4 linked regions of the Arabidopsis thaliana genome follow. The protein of the gene in region 1 interacts with the protein of each later gene in a pairwise test. Each region holds a gene or a part of one and is shown on either strand. Other genes may lie near its edges.

Evidence for each region.
Region 2: the proteins of ABCI12 (region 1) and AT1G30080 interact in a protein complementation assay, tested with the Arabidopsis thaliana proteins (one large-scale study listed by BioGRID).
Region 3: the proteins of ABCI12 (region 1) and AT4G35080 interact in a protein complementation assay, tested with the Arabidopsis thaliana proteins (one large-scale study listed by BioGRID).
Region 4: the proteins of ABCI12 (region 1) and PDLP8 interact in a protein complementation assay, tested with the Arabidopsis thaliana proteins (one large-scale study listed by BioGRID).

What each region holds. Positions count from the first base shown.
Region 1 is NC_003074.8:7,600,237-7,607,966, reverse strand, and holds ABCI12 (cobalt ion transmembrane transporter), read left to right. Parts: upstream 1-4,067; 5' UTR 4,068-4,246; coding exon 4,247-4,609; intron 4,610-4,719; coding exon 4,720-4,836; intron 4,837-4,918; coding exon 4,919-5,155; intron 5,156-5,240; coding exon 5,241-5,405; intron 5,406-5,505; coding exon 5,506-5,581; intron 5,582-5,649; coding exon 5,650-5,714; intron 5,715-5,805; coding exon 5,806-5,958; 3' UTR 5,959-6,145; downstream 6,146-7,730. Other genes in the region: AT3G21600 (Senescence/dehydration-associated protein-like protein), read left to right, coding at 1-199, 285-406, 581-747, 869-953, 1,079-1,232; AT3G21590 (Senescence/dehydration-associated protein-like protein), read left to right, coding at 2,178-2,382, 2,452-2,525, 2,796-2,917, 3,045-3,211, 3,328-3,416; AT3G21570 (proline-rich nuclear receptor coactivator), read left to right, coding at 7,260-7,670.
Region 2 is NC_003070.9:10,549,169-10,557,406, reverse strand, and holds AT1G30080 (Glycosyl hydrolase superfamily protein), read left to right. Parts: upstream 1-4,111; 5' UTR 4,112-4,239; coding exon 4,240-4,312; intron 4,313-4,428; coding exon 4,429-4,771; intron 4,772-4,943; coding exon 4,944-5,667; coding exon of another isoform or gene 5,668-5,685; exon of another isoform or gene 5,686-6,089; coding exon 6,090-6,176; 3' UTR 6,177-6,552; downstream 6,553-8,238.
Region 3 is NC_003075.7:16,695,249-16,702,894, forward strand, and holds AT4G35080 (high-affinity nickel-transport family protein), read left to right. Parts: upstream 1-3,085; 5' UTR 3,086-3,135; coding exon 3,136-3,441; intron 3,442-3,607; coding exon 3,608-3,679; intron 3,680-3,972; coding exon 3,973-4,764; 3' UTR 4,765-5,073; downstream 5,074-7,646. Other genes in the region: AT4G35070 (SBP (S-ribonuclease binding protein) family protein), read left to right, coding at 1-139; CAT2 (catalase 2), read right to left, coding at 5,689-5,748, 5,863-5,956, 6,046-6,113, 6,215-6,304, 6,387-7,163, 7,242-7,519, 7,596-7,646. UniProt on the Arabidopsis thaliana protein: Together with CGF2, essential protein which supports female gametogenesis and embryogenesis, probably by securing local energy supply.
Region 4 is NC_003074.8:22,438,107-22,445,740, reverse strand, and holds PDLP8 (plasmodesmata-located protein 8), read right to left. Parts: upstream 3,971-7,634; 5' UTR 3,707-3,970; coding exon 2,980-3,706; coding exon of another isoform or gene 2,963-2,979; exon of another isoform or gene 2,368-2,962; coding exon 2,225-2,367; 3' UTR 2,138-2,224; coding exon of another isoform or gene 2,133-2,137; 3' UTR 1,867-2,132; downstream 1-1,866. Other genes in the region: AT3G60730 (Plant invertase/pectin methylesterase inhibitor superfamily), read right to left, coding at 1-166, 333-786; AT3G60710 (F-box family protein), read right to left, coding at 4,269-4,619, 4,700-4,840, 4,986-5,280, 5,368-5,543; AT3G60700 (hypothetical protein (DUF1163)), read right to left, coding at 6,594-6,879, 6,966-7,339. UniProt on the Arabidopsis thaliana protein: Modulates cell-to-cell trafficking.

The sequences.
Region 1 (7,730 bases):
GAAGTTGCTTGACCAATTCTTGAGTGAGAATTCTTGTTTCTCGTCTACGGCTTCGAGTAAGGTTAACAATGGAATCGACTGGCAAGAGTTTGCGCCGAGGATTGAAGATTACAACAACGTTGTTGCTAAGGCTATTGCTGGAGGAACAGGACATATCATTAGAGGAATCTTTAGTCTCAGTAATGCTTACTCTAACCAGGTTTAAATCACACCCTCATGATATATTCGAAGCTCTCTTGATGTATATATAGTGAGAGATGATCATGAGTTTTATGATAGAACAGGTTCACAAGGGAGGCGACATAATGATTACAAAGGCTGAGGAGAGCCAGAGAAATGGAAGTTACAACAATGGAAACTCCAGTGGTAATGAGAAGAAAAATGGGATCAACACACACCTTCAACGGTACTCACTCAATAGTTTTATAACATTGTATATTTTTTGTTACGTAAGAAATTTTCACAATGGAAGTATATACACTCAAATGTAAACGCAAACAAAGAACAAAGACATAAATTGTGGTTTTTGATTCGTTTAATATCTTGGCTGCTGTGTTGGATGGATGTAACATGTATATAGAGTGAGGAAGCTGTCAAAGGCGACTGAGAATCTGAGCAAGACGATGTTGAATGGTGCGGGAGTTGTGAGCGGCTCTGTGATGGTCCCTATGATGAAGTCGAAACCAGGGATGGCCTTCTTTTCGATGGTTCCAGGGGAGGTCCTCTTAGCTTCACTTGATGCCCTTAGTAAGTTATGATATATAACTATGTAAAATCTTTTTTTGTGGTCAAAAACTAGAGCAAATAAAAGTTATGGGTGTGAAAAAAAAAACTTTAATGAGGTGTAATGTTTGGTTTGATCCAATAGATAAAATACTAGATGCAACTGAAGCTGCAGAGAGACAAACTCTATCTGCAACATCCAGGGCTGCTACCAGAATGGTCAGTGAGAGGTAACATTTTCACCTTATAATCCTCAAATCTAACATGTGTCCATTGAGAAGTCATTAGTGATGATACACATTTTTAAGAGTTTTAAGGTGATAATAAATTAATAATAACATGTTTGGCAAAACAGGTTTGGAGATAACGCAGGGGAGGCCACCGGAGATGTTCTAGCAACAGCGGGCCACGCAGCTGGAACTGCCTGGAATGTTCTCAAGATCCGTAAGACTTTCTATCCTTCATCTTCTCTTACATCAGGAATCGTCAAAAATGCTCCAAGAAAGTGATATATAGTGGGTTATAGTTTCAGTTACGTTTATCAATGTATGATCGATGGAAACCCCCAAAAACAAGCTCAGTTTTTATATTTAGATTCTCTACATAATGTGGACTCATCAGCTATAGTTTGTAATGTATCAATGAGCTACTCAAAATGTCATAAGCTCTACAAAGTATGTTAAGTTTTATGACAATGACTGTATTGATTATGTCTTCTCGAGATGATGACAATATTTATTTAACCTTTGTTCAAATACATTTTTTTAATATTTTATAGGAAAACTAATACAACTTATTACATGTCAAAACTAGTGTAACCAATTACACAAGTAGTCCGATTTGGTATAAGTACAATATGAAAAACTGGTCAAATTAAAACAATTAGTTTTTATTTGACGCCCTCTTCCTAATTACATTTCAATCTGTTAATGTCGATGGAAATAATATGAACGATTTGATTGCGTAGAACTAATTCTATTTGTCAACTATTGAAACAAAACATATAAAACTCAATTTTGGGGGAATATAATTCATCAGAGAAGAATAACACACTTGGGATTATGTATAACATACCTTAGGAGAATGATATCACAAAACACCAATGTAAACTCTACAAAAACCAGTTAAACAAGCAACTTGATGAAGTCTTGGAAAACATAACACGTATGGTCAAATTTAGAAGTTGTTTCTATAGATGAAATCATATATTAAGAAAAGGTATTCTCTCATCTTCTGTTGAAACAACTTGCTAGTTATACAACTAGAAAATTTTACTTATTCTTCACTACCAAGCTATATGATCATATTTTATGGTCTTACATTTTTGTTGGTTATTAATATGATCAAATGGTAAGTGTTTACGTCATTACCTTCGATCATCCAACATTATATAGGAACGAGCCTCACATATAAACCAAACTTAAAAGTACTACTGTACTAAGAAAGAAGACACAATGTCCACATCAACCCAAGAAAACCAATCTGCCCAAGCGGTGAACGAAGAAGTTTTGTTGGAGAATCCCGATTACGGAGTCCAAATCGTCGATAAATCCGAACTGTTGGAGCTAGCCTTGAGTTTCTTAGGGGAAGACGGAGAAATCATGGAAAACCCTGAGTTTCTTGGAGATATCATGGGGGAGAAATCTTCAAGTACTTCAGGTAAGAACAACAATGAAATTGATTGGAAAAAGTTTGCACCGAAGGCTGAAGACTACAAAAATGGTGTAGCCAAGGCCATCGCGGTAGGAACAGGGCATATCATCAAGGGAATCTTCACTTGTAGCAATTCTTACTCTAAGAAGGTCTCATACATATAAGTCCCTCTCATGATGCTTATGAGTGTTAATAGATGATTGTGATTTGAATCGAAATATTTGTTGTAGTAAAGAATCATGAACTTCCAATTCAAACCCAACTTGTGGAACGACTTATGTGTTTTATTTACTAGTATAGATCATCTTATTTTTGTGTTGGATTTTTAAAAACTTTTATATGAACATGGAGATGTAAGACGCACATATTGTAGTATTTTTTATTATTAATATCGTTTTATTTTCTTACAACAAAAACAGATTCACGAGGAAGGAACGATTGCTGAAGAGGATGAGGAAAGAAGTGGTGACATATCACAAATTGATGGAGGTGGCAACAATGAAACTAATAAGAAGAATAAACTCAACAAAAATCTTCAAAGGTATTCATATTTTAATCTCTATCCCACAAAATAGTATATATTATACCAAACAATAAAATCTTGGTTCTTGTTCCTTCTTATAATGAACCAAATCTTGGTTATTTTGTTGGATGTAACATATACATAGAGCGGAGAAGCTGTGGAAGGTGAGCGAGGCTATAGGAATGGCGGCCTTAGAAGGTGGAGATTTGGTGAGCAGTTCGATGATAGCTCCGGTGGTTAAGTCGAAGTTAGGGAAGGCATTGTTATCCACTGCTCCAGGAGAGGTTATCTTGGCATCACTTGATTCTTTTCGTAAGTTACATAGAATAGCTCCATTAATTGTCAATCTATACTCATATTCATTTATTTTGAAGTTTTTGAGATCAAAATTTAAATAAAACAGATAAACACTTTGATGTGGTCAATAGATAATATAATTGGTGCTGCTGAAGCGGCAGAAATACAAACTCATTATGCCACATCCATGGCTGCTACTAGACTTGTGAGTAAGAGGTAAAAAGCTCACTTTGTGATCCTCAATTTTGAGAATGAATTATGTTTCTATAGTAACACACCGGTATTTGAATCAAAAGAATGATTATATCGGTAGAAAATAAAATCGAAGTTGGTAGAATTATTGTATAGCGTGCATACAATCTAATAATTAATTACCAAATAGTTTTGAGGGGTAGCTAATGATTTTTAGAGATAGGTTATCATTTTTATTTGTTAGGATTGTTTAGATGAGTTATATAACATGTTTACATGACCATCGAATTTTACAATTTTATACATTTATTGAGTTGAGTGTAACACATATTCACATTTTTGTGATGACCGCACCAAAGTTTTGGAGAGAAAGCCGGAAAAACCACCGGAATAATACTGGAAACAACGGGCAGCTTAGGCCGAACCGCCTGGAATATTCAAAAAGCTCTCGAGCCAACTTTTTCCATCACCTCAAAAATTGTCAAAAATGCTCCTAGGCAGTAATATGTTATCTATCTTAAAAGCTAAGTTACATTTTCATATGCTGTATTGTATCAAATTACTTAATCTTGGTTTTGGTGTGGCTATGACTCTACGAGAAAAGATTTATACAAAAAGAGTGTGAGAAAATCCAAAACGAGTCTATATATACATCAAATTCGAACAAGAACCGAAATCCAAATTTTGGTATACTTTGACTTTTGTTATTATGAGAAGTTGAGAACCACAGTCAACGTCCGACAAAACCAACAAGTACAACAGTTTAACACTTGACAGTTTACAGTATCTCTCTCTCTACCAAGTACAGAATTTCCCGCTCTAGGGCATATGTCTGATCCAATCCGAAATTGAAAACTCATGAATCACTCCAATCTTGCCAATCCAACAGTCTCCCTCACCGTAACCCTAATCCCCAAACACCCAATTCGTCATCTCACATCTCCAATTCCTAACCGGAACTTTACAAACCCTAAGCTTCTCTTCCCGCTCCGGCTTAATGAGACTCCTTCCTCCTCTCTCGCCGCGAAAAGGGTTTTCATTGTCAGAGCCACCGTCGACGGAGACGGTAAAACCGGTAATTGGGTGAACCGGTTACCAATTCCAGGACTTGGAGCCGAAAACGTCTTCAGATTGATTTCAAGCGCCACCGGAAGTCCCATCGGACAATTCATATCGTCTCCTGTGACATTTCTCCACTCGGTGGATCCCAGAATCAAATTGGTATATTGAATTCTTGATTCTTATCAAATTTCTAATCCAATTTTGTTAAAAAGTTTGAGTCTTTTTTTTTTTGTTAAAGCTTGAATTTTGGTATTTGTATATATGTGTAGGTATGGCTATTAACTCTAGTAGTTCTTCCAGCAAGAGCAAATCTAGTTGTGCGTTTAGGACTTGTTCTATGCACAGCTCTTTTGTCAATCCTTGTTCTCCCAAGACAAGTTTGGATAGTGAGTTCTGTTTCTCTGTCACAACTCTGTTTCTATATGTGATCTATCTGCTCTGCTGAGTTTCCTAACTTTTTCTGTAAAGGATCAATTGGCGAGAGTGTCGCTTCTTTCGGGTATTCTCTTCATAACATTGGGGCTAGGTTCAGATGGTGCACCTCCAATGCTTCAATCAAGAACACCACCATCTTCAATCACAAGCTTGCCTAATCTTCCCATGTCTTTAAGCGGTTATTCGTACATGTTACTGAAGCTTGGTCCTTTGCAATTCACAAGGAAAGGTTTGTCTGTTGGAAGCACAGCCGCATGCTTAACCTTTATTGTAAGTCGGTTTTTCGACTTCCGCGGTTTACCTATTTCCTTTCTTGATTAGATCACTTAATGGAACATTTGGTTTTTGGTCACAGATCTTCCAAAGTGCTAGTATTTGCCTTGCAACAACAACACCAGAGCAACTTGCACTAGCTCTACGTTGGTTCTTGTTCCCATTGACATATATTGGTGTTCCAGTCAGTGAAATTATCCTCACGCTACTGCTTTCACTGAGATTCATTAATTTGGTTTTCGATGAGGTAACGACTGTTCACTTATTCGCTTTAATATTATCAATCAGCCTAGTTATTCCAAGTCCTAAACCACATAATGGTACGTTGTGCATATGTTACATTGTAGGTCCGAAGTGTTTCACTGGGAATTGTATCGCGAAGAGTAAACTGGCAGCAGCTTACTGTTCTGGAGACACTTGATAGTAAGAATCTAAAAGTTTCTTCTCTCTTTCTATATACATCTCATCTTACAAGTGATCGCTTTTTGTAGTTTTCGCGTCATTCATACGCCGCATCTTCAAGAATATATTTCGTCATGCCGAACAAATATCACAGGTCAAATAGATTTCACTTATTATCATCTCATTGATTTGAGAATCAAATAAGAATTCTCTGTTGAAGAAGTTTGTAATTTATGTGCATGCAGGCCATGATTGTTAGAGGCTTCAGAGGAGAGAGCAGTAGCCACAAGATCTACTTCTTCTCTGGCTCTTCGAATAAGTTTGCAGATTTTGCATCAGTTTTGTGTTTAATCGGTGTAATCTCAACCGCACTCTTGTCTGAATACTTTCTTGTCTAATATTGATTCATACTAATCTTTATTCGAGCTAAACTTGGAACATAATTCAGAAGAAAAGATGATCTTGAGGTAGAATCTCTATCATGATCATCCAAATGTTGTATGTGATAAATTTCTTCCCCAATGTGTAAGATTTCGTTGGGGGTCCGGTTAGGGTAACACAATACAACTTTGTTATGCTCGCCGACCAAGAAACTCATCCCATCAGCAAACATATTCCAACTCGGATTAATGGTTTGCACTGTTGAGAACTTGCTCCATGAGATGACTGAATCCATACTAGTTGTCACCCATACATTTAAGTCTTGTGAATGTGTTTCATCATTATAATAACCTAACACTAACAGACAAAGTTTTCTATTTTTGCACGAAGAAATTATACCTAATGAAACAAATACCCTTTAGAAAAAGTGTAAGAAATTGCCACATTTCTTCTTTCAAATTACGTCAAAAATACAATCTATACTTAAAGAGTTAAGAAAGATGATCCCAAGCCAACCAAGGGCGTGATCTCTTCAATCTCACTCGATAAAGTCTGGTACACCCTTGTGTGATTTGATATGGTTTTCGTGTCCAGAAGAGACAAAGGCAGACGAAAACAGTGTCTCACATCTTTTTCTAGAAAATAACGGGTCAATGTCTTCCCAAGCCACTCGTGCTTGCTTCTATAAACAACATCAATCTTGAATTCTACCAAAAACACTCAAACTATATTTCGGCAATATAGTTTCTTGCATTGGAAGCAATCACTTGTTTCCATCATCACAGCTTGAAAAAGATTTGTCATTGGAATTAGTTCATATTTACAGTTCTCATTTAAAACATGTCAATATATGTAGTCCAATGCTTGTTTGATTAATCCCATAGAGCAACATTACATTAATTCAGCAAAAATTAGATTTGTGGAAAATCAAATTTAAAAATGGAAAAACGGACAGGGAAACAAACTAAATTAAACAAAAAGAAAAATAGAATTATGTGTTTAGGTTACAGATGCATCGTTACGAGGAAACGAAGCTCTGACAGAGAAGCCATTTTCTCCATTTTTGTCATCTCTTCTAATTTCTTCTATTTATTCCAGTATTCCATTAACCAGCAAAAAAACTCATAAATTAGATTATTTGTAGATTTTAACCAATTTACAAAAATTTCGAGCAGGAATCGAAGAAAAGGACTATTTGACCCTTTTCTTCTTCCTCCTCCCTCATTTCTACCACCACGATTTCTTCTTTATTTATTAGCCGCCGAAGGGAATTCCTCCGGCGCCATTTTTTATAATTTTTTTGTTTTTATCTTTAGAGATGGGAACCGAAATTATCAGGCCTCAAAATTGTTTGGTTGACCGGATGAGAGATTCTCCGGCGACTTTTTTTAACTCCCGGAGGAATCATTTTCACCGGAAACCGCCTCTCAAACCTGATCAAAGGAGAAGATTCGGTTCCGATGAGTTCAGAACGACGACAAAGAACATTGTTAGGAGAAAAGGAGAGTCTTTTGACTCATTCTCAAACATCAAAGTTCGTAAATATTCACCGGAGGTTTCTGCCGATGATATTTATGCCGGATCTTCGATATTCGCTGTTTCCCCAGCGCCAAGCTCGTTACCTTTGCCGTCTTTCTCGAAGAAGAAAGCGAAAAGCCAGGTTGTTGTCGTTTCCATTGATGACTCGGCCTCTCAAGATCTCCGGAGACTTCTCCGGCTAAAGTTTTGAGACTATCAATTAAACGAAAAAGTTATCGAAATCGTCAGTTATTTAACGGTTAATATATAA
Region 2 (8,238 bases), on another chromosome or scaffold:
ATGCATATAATAGTAATTACATGACTTTGTTTAAAACAATATTTATTTTGGGTTAGGGAACCTAGTTTAACGAATTTGGTTTTTGTGTAAAGAAATTATGGATTTCAACAGAATTTCTAGTCGGTAGAAGTTATCTAAAACCACGTACGTAGAGGTTGGTGAATCTAGTATTACTCTCTCGATCCATTATTGGGGTTCTGGAGTATCTAAGTTCTAATTTTTTGTTTCGTAGGTGTTTTCATATTATAGTATTTACTCGATCGCTGAAAAACGTAAACATTAAACAGAAACAAAGGGGTACAGTTTAAGATTTTCGTAGTTCAAACAACTTCGAAAAAGCACTGAATCAAATCTGTCATAACCACTAGGCATGGTCAAACCGGTTATAATGACTGTTAATAGCTAGGGAGTAATTGACGATAGAACAGAGCTTTACATGAAATCATTTCCCCTATACCTCAAGCGCGATATCTTTTTTTTTCTATCACAGAGTTAATCTTACTAGCATAAGTAGATTCAATCCGATCGATGGCACACTTTGGTCAGTTTGGTGAATATATGTTGAGATCAAGCACATTGACAACATTACACATTTGGCTGAACTTAGGGCCCTTTGAATGATAGTAGTTTTGTTTTAATAAAAATGTCTAGGCTAGTATACGTGATCACTATCTTTAACTCCTACTGTGGGAGTTCGAAACTAGTCAAGCTGGAAAAGACATGGAGAGTTTAAGACCACTAGGCCATCAACTCCCGGCCAAACGATAGTAGTTTTGCGTGAGTCTTAAGTTTTAAGTTTTGTTTTCAGAGAAAAAGAAACAAAACCCCATTTAGTCTCCAATCAAAATTCCAAAAAAAAAAGTTTTCCTACTTCTTGTCTTAAGATTTTCTCTTTTATTTAAAAAGCTAAGATCTAGCTAATTTTATTCTCAAAATCTAAGAACCAAAAAAAAAAAAAAAAAAAAACTGCAACCATTTTAAACAGTCACTTTTTTCTTACATGTTAGACGTATATGATCTACACGTTTACATATGAGATTAACGATGTATTTGTTTTGGTTAGAGCATTTGCTTCTATGCGTGTTGGCTGTTTCAATTCAATAACATAGAATTGTTATTAATTTTCGGTTTCTAAGAGAAGGGTTTCCGATTTTCATATGAAATATCAAATAAATTGAAAAGGAGCCAGAGATTGATTCCTAACCATATTACTTAACTCGAAAGGTTTAATTAGTGGATTGTTAGTGACATAATTATCAATTATTTTGTTGAGTAATTAAACATGTGCCTTCTCTTTGCTTTAACATGGACGGACCAATCTTTTTGCTCTTTATCTCTCTCTCTTTTACGTCGAATTTTTCATAAGTCGTAACCACCAACCTCACTAATTCATTAGTCATCCATCACATCTATCCCCATTAATAGCAATGTTCGTTATTTTTATTTTCCAACAAAATAAAATAAATTGGTCAGTCTTTATCTTTCTTACCAAACTAGATATATATTGGTGGATAAAGTTTGAAAAACAATGGTTAAAGAAGTTTCGTTTCTAGTTGTCAAAGTAGAAAACCTACGTTCAATTTTGCAAGAAAAAATAGATGAGTTTTCTTCTTACTTAAGAGAAATAAATCAATATAAGATTTTTCTGCTTACATAAGAGAAGTAAAATCATTGTAAGAGACTTTAAAAGTTATATATGTTCAAATTTGTTGCATGAAATCTATATTTAAGGAAAAATTTTTTTGACTAATTGAAAAGAAAAACTCGGCTTGGATATAACTATTGATCATGGTAAATTCTAAGCGATCCTCGTTGTTAATCAAGCAATTCTCTTACTGTTATAACATTAAGAATAAGCTATAAGCATCGGGATCCAAAATTTCAGACACAGCTAACAAATTGCTTAGTTCACGCCTAAATATTCGATTAGCCACGAGATATAACAACATTTTTCTTTTTAAAACACGAGATTTAACAATATATGTTAATTTTAATTTATAACCTTTATTACATTAGAATCTCGAGTTAAGATTGTTGAATCAGATCGGAGGAATCTAAGATGTCATAAAGCGCACCACATGCATCAGCTCATTTGTCTTATTCCAAAACAAGTAAGTATACACAGGCATATTCATATGTTGTATATTAATGTATATATGTAGGATGTAACAAATAAACAAGTATCGTTATAGTGAAATTCATCTTCCAAAAGTTACTAGATTCTTGTTTAGCAAAAACAAAAAAGTTACTAGATTCTTGGGTTGGTTACGAAAAAAATAAAATTGGGTCACTTTTGTTGCATCATTTCATAAAGCAGGCTACTTTACATATGTTTTCAGATCTCTATTCCATTTAATATATTTGAAATTTTCAGAAATTAATCAATATCCGATATACAGTATAACCTCTATTTGGGACTGCAAAATTTTATTAATTTAGAGAGGTATTAATTTATTGATAAATTAATATTTATTAATTTATAGAGAGATTTTCTTAATTTGGTAACTTTTTAAAAAAATTTATAAGATTTTTTTCATTATAAAAAATATATTTCTAGAACCAGTTACAAATAAAACATAATAATAATGTCTAGAAAACATTATTAAACAAATAACAAAAGTTTTGGTATAGTAAAATATGAAAACTATAATCAAACAAATAACAAATATGAATTTAAACAAAAAATTATTATAAATATATTTTAAAGAAATTTTTTACATATAATATATATATATAGTTGATATATTTATACAATTATTAATTTATGATATCGATGAGACCATATATTTACATAGAACTTTCCAAAAAATTATTATCTTATTAATTTATCGATTTGTGTCATTTTTTACACTAGTCCCAACTCGGGACCGGAAGAATTTATTAATTTATAAAGGTTATTAATTTATAGAGGTTATACTGTAGTAAGAAGTCCGTTCTATAAGAAAAGTAACAACCCAAACTTCCAAAAATCTGTACAAAATGAAGTTGAATTACAATTATCACCTGGTGTATAGTTAGAGCTTTTATTGTTTTAATATCAAACTGAAAGAAAAAAAAAATTGTTTCAGACAACTAAATTATTGGCTAGGGCCAATTAGGCTGTAAATTTACATATCAACTTTGATTAACTTTTCTTTTTGTAAACTTGTTTAAAACCGTTTTTTTCCATTGATTGATTAATCGAGTAATTAATTTATTTTATTTCATCTAAAACATAAATAATGAACCGTTGTGCAACCTAATTTTTTTTGTGATCGAGCGGGTTGACTAGATGAGTTAGGTTGAATTTAGAAATATTTACTTTTACATGTAAGCTAACGGTATATAAATTCTGAATTGAAACGTAGGATCAGTTTTAAATATGCGACTAAACTCCGTTGAATATCAAATATAGGATTAACTGAGGGTCATACTATAATTTCACGTGAAATACAATTCTAACAATCGTTACAATGTTTTTTAAAAGAGCTTTTATTTCACAAGATGCAAATTGCAATACTATATAAATATAATAAACTGAAGATAAGCGCACTATCCTTCTTATCATTATGATGGTGTGATTTCTACTCTTTACGTTCCATTTTTTTGGTTCACCCAACTACCAAATTTGGGATCCTCCAAATTCTATGCCAAAGACATAATGTTTTTTTTTTCTTTGTGTTTAATAGACATATTGTTAAGATTAAAAACCTATTATAGTGGGCAATTCAATTTTTCCCACCTTTGCCTTTGTCTGAAGAAAGTGTCTTCTTTTAGGCCACTTTTTCATTTTTTTTTTTTTTTGGACTGACATAGTTGGCAATGTGTTGGAAAGAGACAATCTAAGATGTCATATTTTTTTCTTCTTGGGTCCAAAATGTTTTATGAAACCCATGTTGCCTCACAAAGAATGTTTTTGGCAAACACTATCTATTTTTACAATAGACTTCCATAAGATAAACCTATTGCCAAACCTACTCCCATTACAAAACTAACGAGTATAAATTTAAATAACTTATTGAATTATTTTTGGAATTAATCATATTGTCACTTTTATTGTAGAAACCCTATGTCTCACCATAAAACAAAGGCAGGCAAAGTAAAGTATTATCTCTAAATTATAAATTAATAATTATTCGTCGCCTACTTGGTCCCATTTCTCAATTCTTCATCTCTATATCTATCCCCACATTTCATTGCATTGATTCTCTTACAAGCACTTTCTCCCTCAGTCTTTATCTCCCTCTTTCTCTCTTCTCCATGTCTAACATGTTTAGCAGAATTGCCATGACCAACTCTATCGTTCTTCTTCTATTTTCCTTGACTTTCTTAGGTATCGTTTTTGAATAATTGCTTATTTCTGTCTACCAACAAACAAAATTCATTATCTCAATTTCAGTTTGTCATTACACTTTAATTATTTAAATTTCTCTTACATTTTTTTCACAGAACATGGATTGTTGTTTCAAAGGGTCTCCTCTCTTGGCATCAACTATGGTCAAGTCGGCGACAATCTTCCTCCACCGGACAAAGTTCTACAACTCTTGAGTTCACTCCATATCAATAAGACAAGAATCTATGACACAAACCCTCGAGTGTTAACCTCATTTGCCAATTCCAATATCGAGCTCTTTGTCACCGTCGAAAATGAAATGCTTCCCAGCTTAGTAGACCCTCAACAAGCTCTCCAATGGGTCACTACCCGTATCAAACCCTACTTTCCGGCCACCAAGATCGGTGGTATCGCCGTCGGCAACGAACTATACACTGACGATGACTCAAGCCTTATAGGGTTTGTTACATACATCCCCTCATTCCTATAAATTGTTATCCTTTTCAAATCTTGGTCCATTACAAATATGCCCTACTAACCAAATCATGGTAGTCATGTGGGTATCATCCTGAGATCCTCTAGTTCAAAAAAAGAAGAAAGTATTCAACCTCGTTATTGCTATGATTCGCAGGTATCTTATGCCTGCAATGATGAGCATTCATGGGGCTTTGGTCCAAACCGGACTAGACAAGTACATTCAAGTATCGACTCCGAACTCACTATCCGTCCTTCAAGAATCTTACCCTCCATCCGCCGGATGTTTTAGGCCGGAAGTAGCTGGCGTAATGACACAGCTACTAGGTTTCTTGCGTAACACGAATTCCCCCTTCTGGATCAACGCTTACCCTTACTTCGCTTACAAGGATTCCCCAACAAAGATCCCATTAGACTACGTCCTCTTCAACCCTAACCCTGGAATGGTTGACCCCTATACCAAGTACCGCTATGACAACATGCTCTACGCTCAAGTAGACGCTGTGATCTTTGCCATGGCGAGGCTTGGCTTCAAAGACATCGAAGTTGGGGTCTCGGAGACTGGATGGCCGTCTAAAGGCGATGGAGATGAGGTTGGAGCCACTGTGGCCAACGCAGCCGTTTATAACAAAAATATTCTAAGGAGACAACTTCAAAATGAAGGAACGCCATTGAGACCAAACTTGAGTTTTGATGTTTATCTATTTGCTCTTTTCAATGAAGACCTTAAACCAGGACCAACCTCTGAGAGGAATTATGGATTGTATCAGCCTGATGAGACCATGACTTACAATGTAGGTTTATTATCGTCGTCATCATTAACATCAACATCAACTACTTCTTCAACTTCTATTATTTCCCTCACTTCCTCTGCCTCCACGGTATGTATCAACATTTAACTTTACTTGCTCTGTTTCTACTAGATCTCTTACTTCCATATTTCTTTCTTTTTAATCTTTATATAGCACATTAAATCCCTTGAAAAAAGCTTTGATTGAGAAACATTTTTAAAACAAATTCTGACCTGTTGTCTAAAAAAGAAGAGAATTGTGACGTTTCTTTCTTCTAATTGTGACGTTTTATACTTGAAAAGTTCGGCTTTTCTAGAACATATTCTTACCAAACATATTTATTTTAACATATTTCTTGATTAATAGCGATAAAGTATACATTTTTTTTGGAGCGATATGATTAGTACATGATATTTATGATTATCCTCACCATCTGATTTTTAGATACATATTAGTTAATTAAAAATTTGCGGTCTTAATTATTGCTTATTATGATATTTTAATTTAAACAGGCTTTAAAGAAGGGAAAGCAACGGTTGATGTATTGGACATGCGTTTATTTGTTGGCCATTCACATGCTAATTAGAAGATCGTACTAGAAGCAAAAACAAATTGAGAGAGCTTCTAAGTGTAAATAGAGAGTCCACTAATGCGGTCCAATTTTTCAACGAGAAGAATTAAATTATTCTCGAAAGTGTCTCAGATGATTCTTTAAAAGGGGAAAAAAACACTCAGAAAAATTGAGAAGGGAATGCAGTACTGCAAAGCGAATCCTATGTATAAAAAACTGACGATTCATATTATAGAACTTTATTTGTATTTGTCTTACTAACGTGTTAATTACTTTCGTTGTCTAAATAAAAAGTGACTAAAATTAATCATCAACTGATAAGGTATACAATAATGATTCGTATACAATAATGATTCATGAATCATATAAGAACGATCGTGTTTATTGTTTAAATCCAAAGGATACAATTTCATTTGAGGCATTTTAGTAACCACATTCATTGCATAATTTCATTTAAAATGTTTGATTTCACATTATGTACTACATATGAATCATATTTCAGAAAGCTAAAGAAATTACTCTAGATATAAAGAAGACCCCATATAGTACTACTTTTACGAGAAGCATAGAATATAATAATAATTATTACTAAGCAGAAAATATTGTCATTTTCAACGCTCCAAATATTACTTTAAAGTACATGATATATAATGTTATCATCAGATATCGTTTAACAGAAACAGAAAAAAAGAAAGATGATATCATATATTTTATATAGAAATTTATTGATTGGTCACACCGAAGGTGAAGGCTCTTTTATCTTTTACCTTTTATCTTTTGGACGTGGAATCCATAAACCTTAGACATACGATACCTTCCTTTTCCATCTCACCGTCAACATTCGATATTTTAATATATTGTCTGCTCTTACACATGCATGCATTATATCTGCATGTATATGTGGTATGGCTTCGTACGTGCACACACATGACACTACTCATACATGCATACATGACACATCTTACATGTATGAATATGTGTATATGTCATATGTGTGGTGGATACTCATTAATTCACCAATTGATGTAAAAGAGGAATGCTCCATTTTTCTAACGGGAGAGAAAGAAGAAGTTAAAAATTATCAAAACAAAACTAAAGTTTATTTATTAGGAGGAAGCATATAAATTGATATGGACGGTTCCAACTTTATTCCACGACCATGTTTTAAGTCGTCAGCATTTTGACAATAGTCATTGGCCGTCCCTTTTCAAAGGAGCTTTCTCTCTTTTTATAAATTTTCTATTTTTCTACTTTTTTCTCTGGATTCAATTGTTACTTATTTGTTTAATACAACATGTTTACACTATAATAAATATCTTCATCGCTTTTCTTACACCTTTCTGGTTTTGTATAATCCATCACGGTTTAACTTAAAAATGCCACAAGCTATATTGAGCTTCAATCTGGAAATCTCCAATAACAATCTTTGTATATAGCTCCAGTAAATTTAGCGACGAAAGATTACACTGTTCATATATATATAGAATGCTAAATAAATGATAGTATTGTTCATATCTAAAGTAATACTCACTCGATTACATTTTTAATGTTATACTCATTAGAATTTAGGAGTAAGTCGATCTTCTTCAAAATTCAGGGAACAAAAAAATACGAGGATTTTGTAAAATTATGGTTTTCTTCTTGCATTTAAGTTGTAAAATTCATAAAACTCAAACTCTCATCCGATAACAATGCGCTTGATATAACAACGGCTTTTTGATAAGTAAGTTTAACATTCATTAAAAATAATTAGGAGTATTCGAACATCAATTTTATTTACAGTATCATAAAAAAAAGTTTCTTAAAAAGTAACGTTTTGGATGTTACATTTAAATAACGCCACCATTTGGATCTGAATTTGTTTTGTTACTTTTGTTTGGATTTAGAGCTCATTATGAAATCGAAGTTTTTTCTTTTATGTACATAGAGTTTTAATGGCTAATACTAGAATCATTCTACTTGACACCATATAACTCAGTTGACTCTTTTCTACAGATGAAAATTAACTTAACGTTCCCCCTCCCCCCAATCAATAATTATTTAGACCACACCATCATATGAAAAAGAGAGTGCTCAGTTTATTTTGTCTC
Region 3 (7,646 bases), on another chromosome or scaffold:
TGGGTCTAACGGAGTAACGAGAGTTCTGTTTCTGCCGTGTAGGCATCTCTGTTGCTGCATGGATTGCGAGGAAGGGCTTCTTCTTTGTCCGATCTGTAATACCCCCAAGAAAAGCAGAATCGAGGCCCTCATTTTCTAGGGAAAATCCTTTCTTTTCTCTCACCGGAAAAATGCTTGCCTTTGTGTTCCGGTGAACGGAGAGTTTTTACTCCGGGTAGATGACGTGGCAGGGTAATTTGGTAAAAATAGGGGAGGAAAGGAAAGTGAGAATAGGGAAAGGTTAGAAATAGTAAAAGGTTATCTCAAGAAGTAAATTCTGATTAGGGTTTTCATTTTCCCTTTTTGTTTTTTGGTTCTTTTTCCATTCAATGGAGAAAAAAAAGGAACCCAGCTGGATTTGATGAACATAATTCATATTTTCCTTCTATCTAATGAATTTTCGGATATAAAGTTTGAATGCCATTCTTTCTATTTCAATGATAATTAACTTCTTAGGATTTTTAAACACATTAGTATTAAATATCTTAATATACATTTTCCTAATGATTATATGTATAAGATTTTCCTATATTAAACACTTCCTAATAAGCAAAAAACTAGAAACTTTTGACCGAAAGAATAATAATTCTAAACTAATATGAAATCCAATTTAAACATATCTTTTAAAAAATTTCATTTATAAAAAAATCAATTAAATCAAATTTAAACATATGTCTTTTAATTTACATAGAAAGCAAAACAAAAAAAGTTATATTCTTTTGAACAAAAAAAAGAAAGCAATGAAAAAGTAAAAAAAAAGAAAGGAAGCATTATATATTAATGGGTTTGTTTTGATGTAGGAAGATGGTGAAAAGAGGTGGTAGTAGAGGCCGTAGACACGCGTATTGGAGGAAGCTGTAAGTATTATTGGGTTGCTCAACAATCAATATAGTACAGTGACATGAGAGCACAATAGTAAGTAATAATTCCACATTAAAAAAATAGAAATTGAAAGAGAATCAGAGTTTGGCCTGCCATAGGATTTGAGTTCTCGCACTTTCCTAAACAGAAACATGTTTCATTGAACACTTGGGCCTTTCTTCTTCCTTCATTAAGGATTCTCGATCTCTGTTTCGACAGATCTGTGCTACCTAGGTTTTCTAGATACTCCCTAATACCTATAAATAAACAATAAGTATAACCTTATTATGTAATTAGATCGTACTACTATCAATAAACAAGATTGTAGAAAATAGTGAAAAAGGCAACGCATAAAGATTAATTAAATCTTATTTAAGTTTCATTTGGGACAATTTAAGATTATTGTCTTGTTCATAGGATTTATTTCATCTATTAGTATTACAAACTTTTTTACGCAAACATTATTATCTCTATGTATAGAATGATTTAAACTTTTAACGTAAACACAAATAAACAGTCAGTCCTATGTGCTATGGATGAGGTGATTAGCATTGTAGGGTGTTTCGTGTCATATAGCTCTACTAGTAGAGATTTTGTGTGTCAGTGTGTGTTTATTTACGGCTTTGAGTCTTCAAGACCCAATTAGCCTTAAGACCTTAGTGATTTTAGACTCTTTGTTGAAAAGCTAGAAATTGCAAACCCAAACCGCCTAATGTTGCTATAGGTTTTGATTTCCGAAGTGGGTAATTAATTATGTGGATTACGTATAAACACATGGCCCGGCCCATTTTACCCCCCAAGTGCTCGGCCCAAATTGAAAGTGGGACTCACTGGATTGCCAACTAATTTTATTTAACACGACGTGAAGTTTGGAACTAATACGTCAGGTATTAAAAGTACATAAACATCATCATTACTCAATTTGCTAATGGACGAATAGAGACGGAATCAACAAAGTAACAAACGACTTCAATATTTTTTTTATATGTTACTATGATTCGACAAAGGATTTTTTTTTTGTTATGAACTGAAGATTATTGGATTTTTAATCACAAGATGTCAATATCAAAATTCAATACCATGTCTCGATTAGGGATATCAATATCATGATATTTTAACAACTTTAACTATGTAATTTAATTCGATTATCGTTTTTGTTTTAACCTTCGTTTGATTTGTAGATGGTAGAGGTATTTAGTTGTTGAACTCTTCTTTATACACATGTTGTTTGTTTTGCTTCTTAAAAGGATAATAATTTTTAAACTTATTACATGTGCACCACTGGTCGCATTCGTAGTTTTCCATATTTTATGCGAAAGAAATGAGGATATCTTGGGAAGATACAAATTATTGGGATTGTTTTGCAATAACTCCAAAATGTTATGTTTAAGAGTTTTTTGCTTACGTATTTCATATCAAGCCACGTAGATGCATTTGTAATCTCATAAAACATTTCGATTATTATTAACTTACTGCACCATATTAAAAAACAAATTTCGATATCGAGATTGTAAATTGGGCAATTAGGAATTAGGAATTGAGGTAGGTAAAGTTTATAAGCAGATGAGGAAATAATAGCAAGGAAGAGAAAGAAAGTGGATGCGTCGTGGATTCCATATTTATGTGCTTTACTTTTCCTTTTGGTAGGCGAAAATTTTGACATTTTCCAACAAACATCCTCATGTATTTCACATATTGGCCTGACCAACTATTATGCATATTTTATACATTTGATGGATTAGGCTATAACATGGTTTTTGGAGTTTACTTTTATACGTTCGATCATAGGATAAACATACGTCTTTTATTAAAAGCTCGATCTAACTATGGCATGTTTTAAAAGTTCACATCTTTTGTCTCATTGCTAATTAACGTAAGAATATTAGGCAAGTCGGCTTTTTATACGCAGTTGTCGAATCCAACTTTTACCTAAACCCTTGAAAAATCGAAATTAAGCATTTTTATTTAATAGTAAAACTCAACAATTTTTAAGGTGGTATAGTGCAATAATTTAAAGATTTATCTTAATTTTTTCACTGTGATTTCAATTTTGAAATATAGTAGATAAAAAAAAAAAACAGAAATATTAATTCGTTAACAGTATTATTATTATTCTTATTTATATAAAAATTCCTTTTTTTCAAAAATCGTATATCCTTTAAACAGAGCATCGCACGTACTCTCTTCTATCTCAGTTTCGAGACTCATTGCCTCGCCGAGAGAGAAGGAGACGCCATGGAAAGGCTTCTTCAACCATCTTCTTCTTCTTCCTCAATTTCTCCTTCCAAATTCCCTTCACGGACTTCTCCTTTCCTTCCCCGTCTCCGCTCATCGGGTCTGAGCTTTGTCTCGACTCACCGGCCCGAGTCACGCCGAGTCAGCTCAATTTCCTGCAACAGTTCCCAGATTCCGTCACTGTATACGCCTATAGGATCTAACACAACTAACAATTCCTTCAATGGGTCTCCCAAATCGGATGAATCGAAACCTAATCCCGGATTTCTCACACGGATCGCGACGTCGGCTTCTGAGCAGCGAAAGGTATTCAATTTCACGTTTTGTTCAGTGGTAATTAGAAATCTCTGGATGCTTACGTCGATGCTTACTAAATGTTTCAATTTCCACATTTTCGTATAGTTTTGGGGACGAGCTTGGCTTACATTAGATTTGGGGTTTATGGGTTTTAATGGGGTTTGATTTTATTCAGGAAACATATGAAAAGTTTGTATATAGTTTGCTCGAGAAGAAGATTCCAAGAATTACAAAAAGTTCCAATTTTGTAGGGTTACATATGTTACTATCCATCAGTCTCTAGAATCATGGAATCATGTTCTCTCTGTTTTAGGATTCGGGAGCTAATTCGATATTGTTGACATTGAACTTGCTTTTTCATGTTAGATATTGATAGTCCCTAATTTCAAGCTCCACACTTGTTGGAACAATAGAACTCAAATCAATCTAGTTTCTTTTTTGTTTGATTAGTCTGTGTGTTGGAATTGTGCTTGTTCGCTGTCCTCTTATGTAGTCTCATGGATGTTTACCAGATCAATATATATCTGTGTTTCTTTGCAGACGTTATCTACTGGAACCGTTATACTAATCTCTGCAGTAGCTGTGCTTTTGCTTAACCCGCTTCTTGCACCACCTGCTTTCGCTAGCTTTCAAACTGCAGCTAAATCCGGTTGGCTAACAAGTGCGTGGACCGGTTTCCTTGCTGGTTGCTTGCACACGCTCTCAGGACCTGATCACCTCGCTGCTTTAGCTCCGCTTTCGATCGGACGCAGCAAAATGGAAAGTGCTGCTGTTGGAGCTCTCTGGGGATGTGGGCATGATGCTGGTCAAGTCATCTTTGGTTTACTGTTTCTGCTACTTAAAGACCGGCTTCACATTGAAGTATTACAAACTTGGGGTACAAGAATTGTGGGATTGACTCTTGTTATTATCGGTGCTATGGGAATCAAGGAAGCTTCTGAGATTCCAGAACCTTGTGTCGCTTTAGAAACCGACATCAGCATGGTATCAACAGAGAAAGAAGCCTTACCACTGCCCAAAAAGAAGAAGATCGGGTTTGCTACATTTGCAACTGGAGTGGTTCACGGGTTGCAACCGGATGCTCTGATGATTGTTTTGCCTGCATTAGCTCTCCCATCACGGTTAGCAGGGTCTGCGTTTTTGATAATGTTTCTGGTTGGGACAGTTATAGCGATGGGAAGTTACACAGCGTTTATTGGGTCTTGCAGTGAGGCTTTGAAAGAGAAAGTTCCAAGGATCACAGAGAAACTAACTTGGGTTTCGTCACTTGTGGCTATTGGTCTTGGATTGGGAATTGTCATCAGCCCTTTCTTTGGTTTTAGCCTCTACTGAGAAAGTAAAAGCTTCTTCAGGTAAATGAGACAAGTTGAAATCTTTGTAGTTCTTATAGAAGAAAGAGAGGTTTTTTTGGGTCCATATCACTCGTATTATTGTCACCTGTACGAACAAAATCTCGTAATCTTGCTTCAGAAACTCCTCTCGGAGAAAACCATTTGGTGATTCTTTTTATTTTCCTTATTTTTAAGAGAAGTTTGGTTTTGGTTCTGAATTATCGATCAACTGCATGTAACCATACTTTGTAATATTATCAAATTTTAACTAAAAAGTCATTCTTGTTTATATCATTTGAACAGTACTTGTCACAAATACAAACCCCAAAATGTCAAAACCAAGTTTATTTTCTAATGTCAGGATGTCAAAGCAGAGTTCAAATCCAAATTGTCAGATTATTCACACCAAATCTAAAGACTCTCGACACCCCACACTTGATACAACGACGTTATACACAAATGTGGCCACTGTTACAACACATATTGACAACTATTGTAAATTCCCTAATACCCACACATAAGAATTTATGGATTTTCTTGTCTTTTTCGTTTCATACTTTGCTATTCCCTTTCGTCCAGAACATGCAGACTAAAAATCACGTCTTTGTCGACAGCTCTTACGGGATTACATTCGTTAATATATGAGAAATATATAAGAATATGTCACAATCTTTCAAGGAAGAAGGAGCTTTCATCAAGTAACACCACGGATTATAAATCTTCAATGTATAATGTATTATTCTGATAAACGAGAGACACAACAACACACAAGGTTCTTTTGGTCTTTAAACAGATACTATTATAACATAGCACAGAAGATCCACATGATGAAGATTGTATTATCGCAACTTTGATCTCTTCCCATTTTCTTTTCTCTGCTAATTAACAACCACAGAAAGGCCAATCAAGAATTCTTTCACTCGTTTTAGATGCTTGGTCTCACGTTCAGACGGCTTGCCAGCTTCTGTCCCAAAGACTTATCAGCCTGTTTCACACATTTTTAACCAATCAGTCAAAAATGTTTAAAACTTGACAACTTTTCAACTGCTGAGACTTGAAGAACGAGACAATGACAGTAACAGAGATCAAGATTTCAGACCTGAGACCAGTAAGAGATCCAGATACTGCGGATTTCATGCGTGATGCGTGGGTCGGATAGGGCATCAATCCATCTCTGGATGAATCGTTCTTGCCTGAAGTTGAAAACATACCGTAAAACGTTAAGAACACAGATGTTCCTTTTATGCATTAAGCATCATTACAAAAATAAAACAATTAGTACCTCTCTGGTGTAAAGGTACGGTATCTCTCTCCAGGCTCCTTGAAGTTGTTCTCTTTCTCAATAATGCACTGAAAAAAAAACAGATTTCGAAACTTTTAGATCATATGTTCTTAAGTGAACCAATCCATGGGAAACAGAAACAGAGAGGAAAACAGAGTTGATTACTGACCCTCTCACGTTTTCCAGAACAGACAGCAGGCGGAGTTGGATACTTCTCAGCATGACGAACCTGGTCATACCTCGACGGGAAGTAGTTAACCTGTAACAACAGCTTCTTGTAAGACTATGGTATTCTAGCTTCAAGTTCGATATAAAGATATTGATAGTGTACTATTAAGTACCTCCTCGTCCCTGTGCATGAAATTCATGAATCCCTCATGGTGGTTGTTGTGGTGAGCACATTTTGGAGCATTGACTGGCAGCTGAAGGTAGTTTGGTCCAAGACGGTGTCTCTGAGTATCGGCATAGGAGAAGACACGGGTTTGAAGCAGCTTATCATCTGAGTAATGTATCCCTGGGACAATAATTGCAGGACAGAAAGCAAGTTGCTCATTCTCTGCAAAGAAGTTGTCAATGTTCTTGTTCAACACCATACGTCCAACAGGTTGAAGAGGCAAGATATCCTCAGGCCAGGTCTTGGTCACATCGAGCGGGTCAAAGTCGAACTTGTCTTCATCAGCAGGATCAATGATTTGGATAAAGAGCTTCCATTCAGGGTAGTTTCCAGCAGCTATAGAGTCATACAAGTCTTGAGTCGCATGACTGTGGTTGGTTCCTCCAACACGAATTGCATCTTCTTCCAAAAGAGACTTGACTCCACAAGTTGGTTTCCAATGGAACTTCACGTAGTGAGCTTTGCCAGCTTTGTTGATCAACATGTATGTATTGACACCTGAACCATCCATGTGCCTGTAATCTTGTGGGATACCGATATCATCGAAGAGGAAAGTGAACATGTTCAAACTTTCAGGGTGGTGGGAGAAGAAGTCAAGGATTCTCCAGTTCTCTTGGATGTGAGATTTTGGGTTCGGCTTAAGAGCGTGGACCATGTCAGGGAACTTCATCCCATCGCGGATGAAGAAAACAGGAAAGTTGTTTCCAACAAGATCAAAGTTCCCCTGCATACAAAGAATGATCATTTGCTTAGTATATAAGTAATTGCTAGCATTCTTAAATGTTACAAACTACTAACTGACCTCTCTGGTGTAGAACTTGACTGCAAAACCACGAGGGTCTCTCAAGGTCTCGGGACTTCCACGCTCATGGATAACGGTGGAGAACCGGACAATGACAGGAGTCTGAACACCGGGAGCTCGGAGAAAGTCAGCACAAGTGAGGTTAGAGATATCATGAGTGACCTCAAAGAAACCTTTAGCACTGGCTCCTCTGGCATGAACCACACGCTCTGGAATCCGTTCCCTGTCGAAATTGGCAAGCTTCTCAACGAGATGGTAATCCTCAAGAAGGATAGGACCTGCCCAAAAAAACAATCAGAAATGCAACAATAACATTGAGGAGAACAGACTTATTCATGGGAGAAGAAGAGGTACCTCTGGGTCCAACGGTCATGGAGGAGTTGTTGTTCCATACAGGAGCACCAG
Region 4 (7,634 bases), about 15 Mb from region 1:
ACGAAATCTGCCCTTGAACTTGTTGGATTCCATGACACTAACATTCCACCGTTTTGGTTTGGTCTTGATGGTCCATGGTGTGATCTTCCTGGTCCATGATTTGGTCTCGTTGGTCTATGTTTTGGTCTCGTTGGTCCATGGCCCTGTCTCGCTGGTCCATGCAGCCCTACCAAATGTTATTAGAGATCCATAATAGATAAACCATGATATCTCAAACAAAAATTTACACTTATCTTGGAGTCTACAATCGTTATTTAGTGATAAAACAGAGCGATTTATTGTATCATTTTATTTAATTATGTATACATGAATGTATGTGTAAGTTTTCTTACTCTTTTTCATATGACCTCTAGACTTTTTGTAGAAAGCCAAAGCTTCATGGAGCACGAACGTGACGTTGCTATGGACCAAAGGCTTATGACCTTGACGTTGCTGAATTAAACCGTCTAAACAAGTGTGATGATTCGCAAGCACGCCACTTAGCCACGTTCTAACATCTTCAACGGTGAAATTCTCATGATCTACGACCAGTTTCGATAGCCTAGCTTCACTCTCATCGTAGAGCTTCTCGCATTCACTTAACCCCAATTTATAATAACTACCAGCAACTTCACTAGTTGCCTCAGTCACAGCCATTGACCCAAAACTAGTCTTGGCTTCAACCACAGCAGTTCTAGCCATTTCAAGTACATCCAACTCGGCTGTGTTTGAGGCGGTTATGACGGCAGCAATGGCTAGAAAGAACATGATAGTGATTAAGTCGGTGACTTTTACAAACGTGGACATTTTTAGTAAATGTTATTATAAGATTGTTGTAGTGTTTAGTAATTTTCTTGAAATGCGTTTTAAGTAAATAATTATTGATGTTGTTGTGTATTTAACAGCAAACGAAGAATGGAACTTGTCGTAGAAATGTAGATGAAGATGGTGGCGAGGAATCTAACAGATGGAGAGAGAGATAAGGCACGTGTGAGAGTATGTGTAAGCTTTTGTTTATATGATTATTGATGGCCCATGCATATGAGACTAACTTCATTAATTACGTTATACATTTCAGGTTGTAAATTAGTGCAACGCTCTGTATCAAAGTGAGTAAACGTATACGTCTATGTGTCAAGAACACAACCTTAAGTTGTTCTTCTTCATCATAAGTTTATTATCTTCAAGAGCTGAGAGACTACTATATATACTGGATTAAACCTAAATTTTTATATACTGGTATAGTGATATATAATCATAATCCCATTATTACGAATTTACGATGGATAAGATATATATATATATATATATATATATATATATATATATATAAATAAAAGAAATTTTCAGGATTTGGAGTCAAAAAGAAAAGAAAACAAAATCCATGAATGATCAGTTATATTTTAATAGAATAATATATAAAGTAATAATTTTGTTGGAGTAATATGTTGTAACATTAGTGAAAATTACTATTTTTGTCATGGGTTTATATGTTTTTGGTAAAAGAATTTCTTGAATTAATTTTTAAAAAAATACAAAAAAAAAGGAATGGTTGCATGGAAAATGTTTTAGTCTTTTAGATATGTTACACGGCTTAGAAGCTTAGTAGGCCGAGGCCCAGTCCATAATAATTTAATGGCTCAATGGAATATGTGGTGAAACCCATGAGAACCGGGTAGATCCGGATCGTAGAAAACCAAAGAATTGATTGAATGGAACCTCTCAAGTCTTATAAGCCTTCTTCTTTTTTTTTTTTGCCGGCAGAACCTTTTAAAGTTTAATGATACTCAATCGATCGAATCACGTTGTTCTCCGGAAATGATAATCTACTTATCTAAGTATGAGTATCGAATAATTGCGCCTGCTAAGGAAAGTGGATTTTAGTCTAAAACTAGTTAATGGAATAAAGTTAGCATCTTTTTAAGGCAGACAATACGGGTCACACTATACAAATATTTAATACCTCAAAGCTAAAAATCATTATATCATCAGTCACTAATAGTTTTCCTTTTGATAAACCAAAAATTTCAGCAAGGAACGGTAACGGATGTGTTCCTCCTACAAAATAAAAGGAATAGTGGAATACAAGAGAGTTCAAAAAAAAAAAAACAGGTCCCTAGAATCTTGTATCCCGAATCATGCCTTTCATTATATCAATCTGCAAATCAGATAAGAAAAATTATGAGATCATGATACTTATTTCTAAATATATACTAAAAATGAGTGATTTGATCTTAAATCTTAATCATGTGAAGATTAGGCAAGTAAGTATAGACTTACGCATGGAGTTTCTACAAAGGGAGAGGAGAACAACAAGAATTGCGAATCCAGCAATGACTCCTACGATGATCGCGATTGATTTCCCCACGTGATCTCCATTCGTTGGATCTTAATAACGAAAATTAGATCAAATTTAAAAAGATCTTAATATTGTATGTGACAAATTAAAGTACATAAGATAAGGACAATATAGTATCAAGCTAAGAATTAGATTTTCTAAGATGCAATGACTTTTGGACTATGTGATATTGATCAAGCTATAAAGAATATATAAAATAAAGTTGAAAATGGGGACATGGGTGGCTATGCCTATAAAGAAAAGAATAATATATTGCAAAAACATTCTTTTCTGACCAATGATATTATAATCATGATACTCGAATTTTCCAACGAATGATTCAAAAGATTAATTCTATTTTATTCAATACTTAATGGTGTCTTTCCAGTGGAAATTACAAAAAAAAAAAAGCAACGAAAATTTTATGATTTCTTCAACTTTCTCGTGCTACCAAGGAGCGACTAGACTTGTGATTTTCTCAATTATAAGCGGCGGAAATTTAAATTTTGTCAAATTCTCACACATTTCTATACAGTTCATTACTACAATTTTCAATTATATTATCATGGCACTAAGCATGATTCACGAATATAATTAAAGAACTTACGTAAATTAGAGCAATAGCTAATAAATGAAATAAAGATTTTAATTTATGGACTGACCTGAAGAGAAGTCATAGTAACCAGAGCCCCAATAACGAGCATAGCACTGAGCCAAGTAAACCTCAGCTGCAACCGCCGAGCCACAAAGATTCTTTAATTTTCCGACAGACTCGGCAAGACAAGCCGTACAGTCACTAGGACTCAAGTCACCAACACACTGAGCATAACCTTCGACTAAACCGGACCGGCTAACTTTGTAACCGAGTTGAGTCGACTCAAGATCCGACAACACATCGTCTCTCCGCTTAAAGAAATCGTAGTCATTCTCAACGCTCTTGGAACTACACTTCTTGTACCTAAGACTTGTGTCTGGTTTCCCTAGAAAATCGTTTGTTTCGTAACGTAAGAAGCAGCCTTCGAGCTGGAGAGAAGCGCCGTAAGAGTAAGGACAAATGAGAGTGATTTGATCGACTGAGGTTTGGATGCATTTTGAGCAGTCTGATGATCGGAGATCGTCACGGCATTGATAGAGGCCGAAGACGGCGGAAGAGGATGAGGAGGAGGAGGAGTCGTTGCCGACGGCAAAGCTGTTGAAGGACGCGTCAGAGGAGGAAGTGACGACAGAGGAGAGGAAAGTGTCGCGGTTTGACTCAAAAGGTGTGTTTGGTGTGTATTTTTCCGGTGAACATCCTCCGTAGATGAAGATGTGAGATTCTGATGAAGATCTTGAGGAGGAGGATGAGTAAAAGAATAAAAAGAGGAGAGAGAAGAGAAAGAGTCTTCTCATATTTTCTTGTTCTTTGAGATTGTTTTCAAAGGAGCTTTCGTTTTTGATCTATCTTATTCCTTGTAGTGTTTTATTTAACAATAATAATCGAGAATGATTATTCATCACTATGGGTCCGAAACTTTTATCGGCGACATTAATACAAACATGTATAATGCATACCGTAGTTAAGAAATAAGTGGATATATATAAATGTAGCTAGGATGAATACAAAACTACATAATAGATCAACAAACGTGGTCTAGAACATTCACTTGTAACGAATCAATACCAAAGTGTAGACAAATTGGATGATAACATTATTGTTTTGTTAAGAGTGCCTAAAATGATTTAGACATGATTAAAGAAGATTTGGTTTTGTGGGTATAATAATATCTTGAAACTTCTTTTGTGCAAAGAGGGTCCCATTTTAGGCATGTCCTTTTGATTAGTATATGTTCGCTAGATCGATTCCATCACACATATTCTCATCAAGTTAGTGGAGAATTTTCAAGTGATAGAAACAACTTTCTTTAAATCCTGACCACGACCAAAAGGGCTAATTAGATTGATCATAAGAGATTTAAAGAAAACGACGACTAAAGTGCTTAGCTTCATCAAATGTATAACCTAGGCGAAATTTCGATGCTTCTCGACCTATCTTCACCTCTACAAAAGAGTAATTTTGAAAGGTGAGAATTTTCTCAAGGACGCTGCTAGACTCGTCTTCTTCTTCATCATCTAACCATAGAGTGAGCTTCAGAAGTGTTGCATTCTCTAAGATGTAGTTAGCAACCTCGGTTTCAGCTTTTCGGCTTTTCTCTTGGTCAGCCTTGGGCGTCATTTTTATTTTGACATTCTCAATGGATGTTTGGAGACATTTTGGCACTGGTGAGCTTGCAATTTCCTCCATCTTTGGATAACCATGAAGCTCCTACAAAGGAAAACACCATAAGACATGTATAATATATATAGTCACTCGCTACTCTCAATACCAAGAGAAGGAATCATTACCAAGTCAATAGATTTTAGGTTGGGACTGCTGGAGAGATATATAGGCAACATCTCTGAATAGTCGGTATGGAGAAAAGCGTACAAACGGGTCAAGTTCTTGAATTCAGGCAGTTGTTGCAGTTTTGTGTAAGCATAGGTTCCCTGTCAAGAACCAACACTTGGTAAGAACAAATACATGCATCTAGAGTATGGCCAGAGATGCTAAGATCTGTGACCTCCGAGAACTCAGCAAAAAACTTGTGCAAAGTTTGCGTGTTTGAAAAGTCATCTCCCCATAAAACCGTACATCGATACACATCTTGATAGAAGAAATAACACTTTCCACTCTGAAGTCTTCCAATGGAAAATCTCTGATACGCAGAAACTCTAAGCTAGGAGTGTCAATCACAAGTCCAGATTCTCCATCATCACCCAAGGAGACATCATCATTTTCTCCCTTAAAGATAAATGTCCATAGACTCAAGCTCCTTAACGTCTGAGATCGCACTTTCAAAAAGTCAACTCCAACATCACAAATGCTCAAGACTTGAAGAACAGGAGAGCACGAGATAAGCATCTCTAGAACCACATCACTCGGTGTACTGCGAAACCCTAAATGCATAACCTCAAGGTGAGGTAGATAGAAAGACTCACAACTATCAAAATCATCCAGAATTACATATTCTAACCGCAAGTTTACAAATTTAAGAATCTGTCGAGAAATTAGGTACAAACCAGGAACACTTTGCCAGAGATTTCTCCATCTTGTCGGTAAGACACTTGTCCTAACAGACTCACTCGTGGGAAGATTCAAGAGTATCTCTTGCAGCAACTCATTGGGCAATTGGCTTATCAAATCTTCCATTGGTCCCTAAATTGATCAACAGAACAAAGAGACAAAGACACGGTATTTATTAGCTAAGGTCTAAGAAAACAAATCAAAATTAAACCGCGTTCTGCAACATGAGTCGTAGAAATTTCTAGACCAGTTAACACGAAATCGCATTCATAGAAAGCAAATTAAGTTGAGATCAAGTTCACAATCAACGTACGAGCAGAGCACTCTCAGATATTTCCAAAACCTAATAAACCAAAAAATTTGAGACGAGTTTATGGAAAGAAGGGTTTTGGTTTCACGTTAAAAAAGTATCTTATCTTCTAAAGACTCTGGTCTAAAGAGAGTGTTTCTACTTTTTTTACAATAACGAGCTTTCGAGACATGACTAGGGTATACGTATATCACAATTATTATGTATGAGGTTAATTTCTATTTTTCGTTACTCTTTCTTTCTTATTAATTATGTTTTAAGAAAAAGTTGTATATTTAGTCATTATCTTATTGGAGACTGGAGAGCATGAAACCACACACAAAAATCAAGATACTTGGTCGAGAGAACCAATATCCTAGTCGGTAACCTAAGAGCAACCACATTGGTGAGCTTTTAGCAAATATTTTTAACAATAATTTTATAATTTATTTTGAAATTAAGAGTTTTAATAAAAAAAAATTTTTTAAAAGTGTATTTTGTCTCTTATATAAGAGTCAAATCTTAACTATTTTACCAATTAAATATTAAATTTAAATTTTAATATCTCTAAAAATTATATCAAGAGCCCACCAATGTAAATGCTCTAAGAGCTTGTTAATCCATATATAGCACAGTAGCACTAGCGTTATAATATTTAAATCGAAATGTAGAAGAACAAAATAAATCAAATTAATAAATTATCGTCAATTAGCAAATAAAGATTGAAAAAATTATAAGATTGTTAGTCAAGGGAGAAATCCACACAAAATCTATATCAAACACAGTTTGGTAAACTCTACGAGATGTTTTATATCTGATGGTATGCGTTATCCAAAGTATATTACACATAAAGAAGGTCCAATCTTCATATAAAGTTAAACAAGAAACTAGTGATCATCATAGAGGCAATTAGGATAGCCAACCACAGTTGATGTAATCTTCTGTTCATAACTCGACTCAAATTTCATTTTGACCTCATCACAAGCAAATTTCATGGTCCCTGCCTTATTTTCTCTGCAATCCGGAAGAAACAACCGCAACCCCAAGCGCACTTCGCTTCTCTCTTTAATGTCGTTCACAATGTTTTTTCCAATCGCGCCATTGATATCCTCTTCAGAGACATCCCCTGAAACCTTGAGCAGTTGAGGCCAATGAAACAGAAGATTGTTGTAACTGATCAAGCAAAAAAAAATAGATTTTTCGTTATAATAATATAATATATATGAAGAAAGTTAAATAATTAAAATAGATATTTGAACCTTCTTGGGGGTGAAGTAGCAATGGTAATATTCTTGTAAAGTAAAGAAGCTTGAAAGTCTCCTTGTAGACATATATAGGAACCAGGAAGGTTTTCGGGAACTCTAATGGATAAGTTCCATTTTGCACTAAGATGAGTATTTATATCAAACACCGTAAAATTCATAAAAGCTATTGTACTATACGGCACATGATTAGTTGTTATAGATTTCGATAGGAAATAGGAACACGAAAACTTCACGGCGCACAACGTTACCCATACTACCAACAATTGGGAAAAACAACAGAAAATTAGTGTTGCTGCTGGTTCCCCTTTTTTTGGAACTTCTTCTCTGAGTTCTTCTTTATCAACAAAAGCTTCTTTTTCGAGGTCCATCTTGTATCGTTGACCAAACAAGATCAAGGAAGAGAGAAAAACAAATGTGGAGTGCACGAAGAAGATGAGAGATTGTACAAAAATGTATTATAAAACATGTTTATATATACACACCAGATTTTGATACACCACTTCTTTAGTTTTTTCTTCCATATATAAGATCTAGCTATCTCCTTTAGATATTTTACTATTTTTTTGTTATTTAGAGTTATTTCTTAAATTTATAGATTGTGCTATTAATTTAAAATCCAACAAAATTTCAAAAGTATGGTCTCTAATGAAAAAGCTGAGTTGT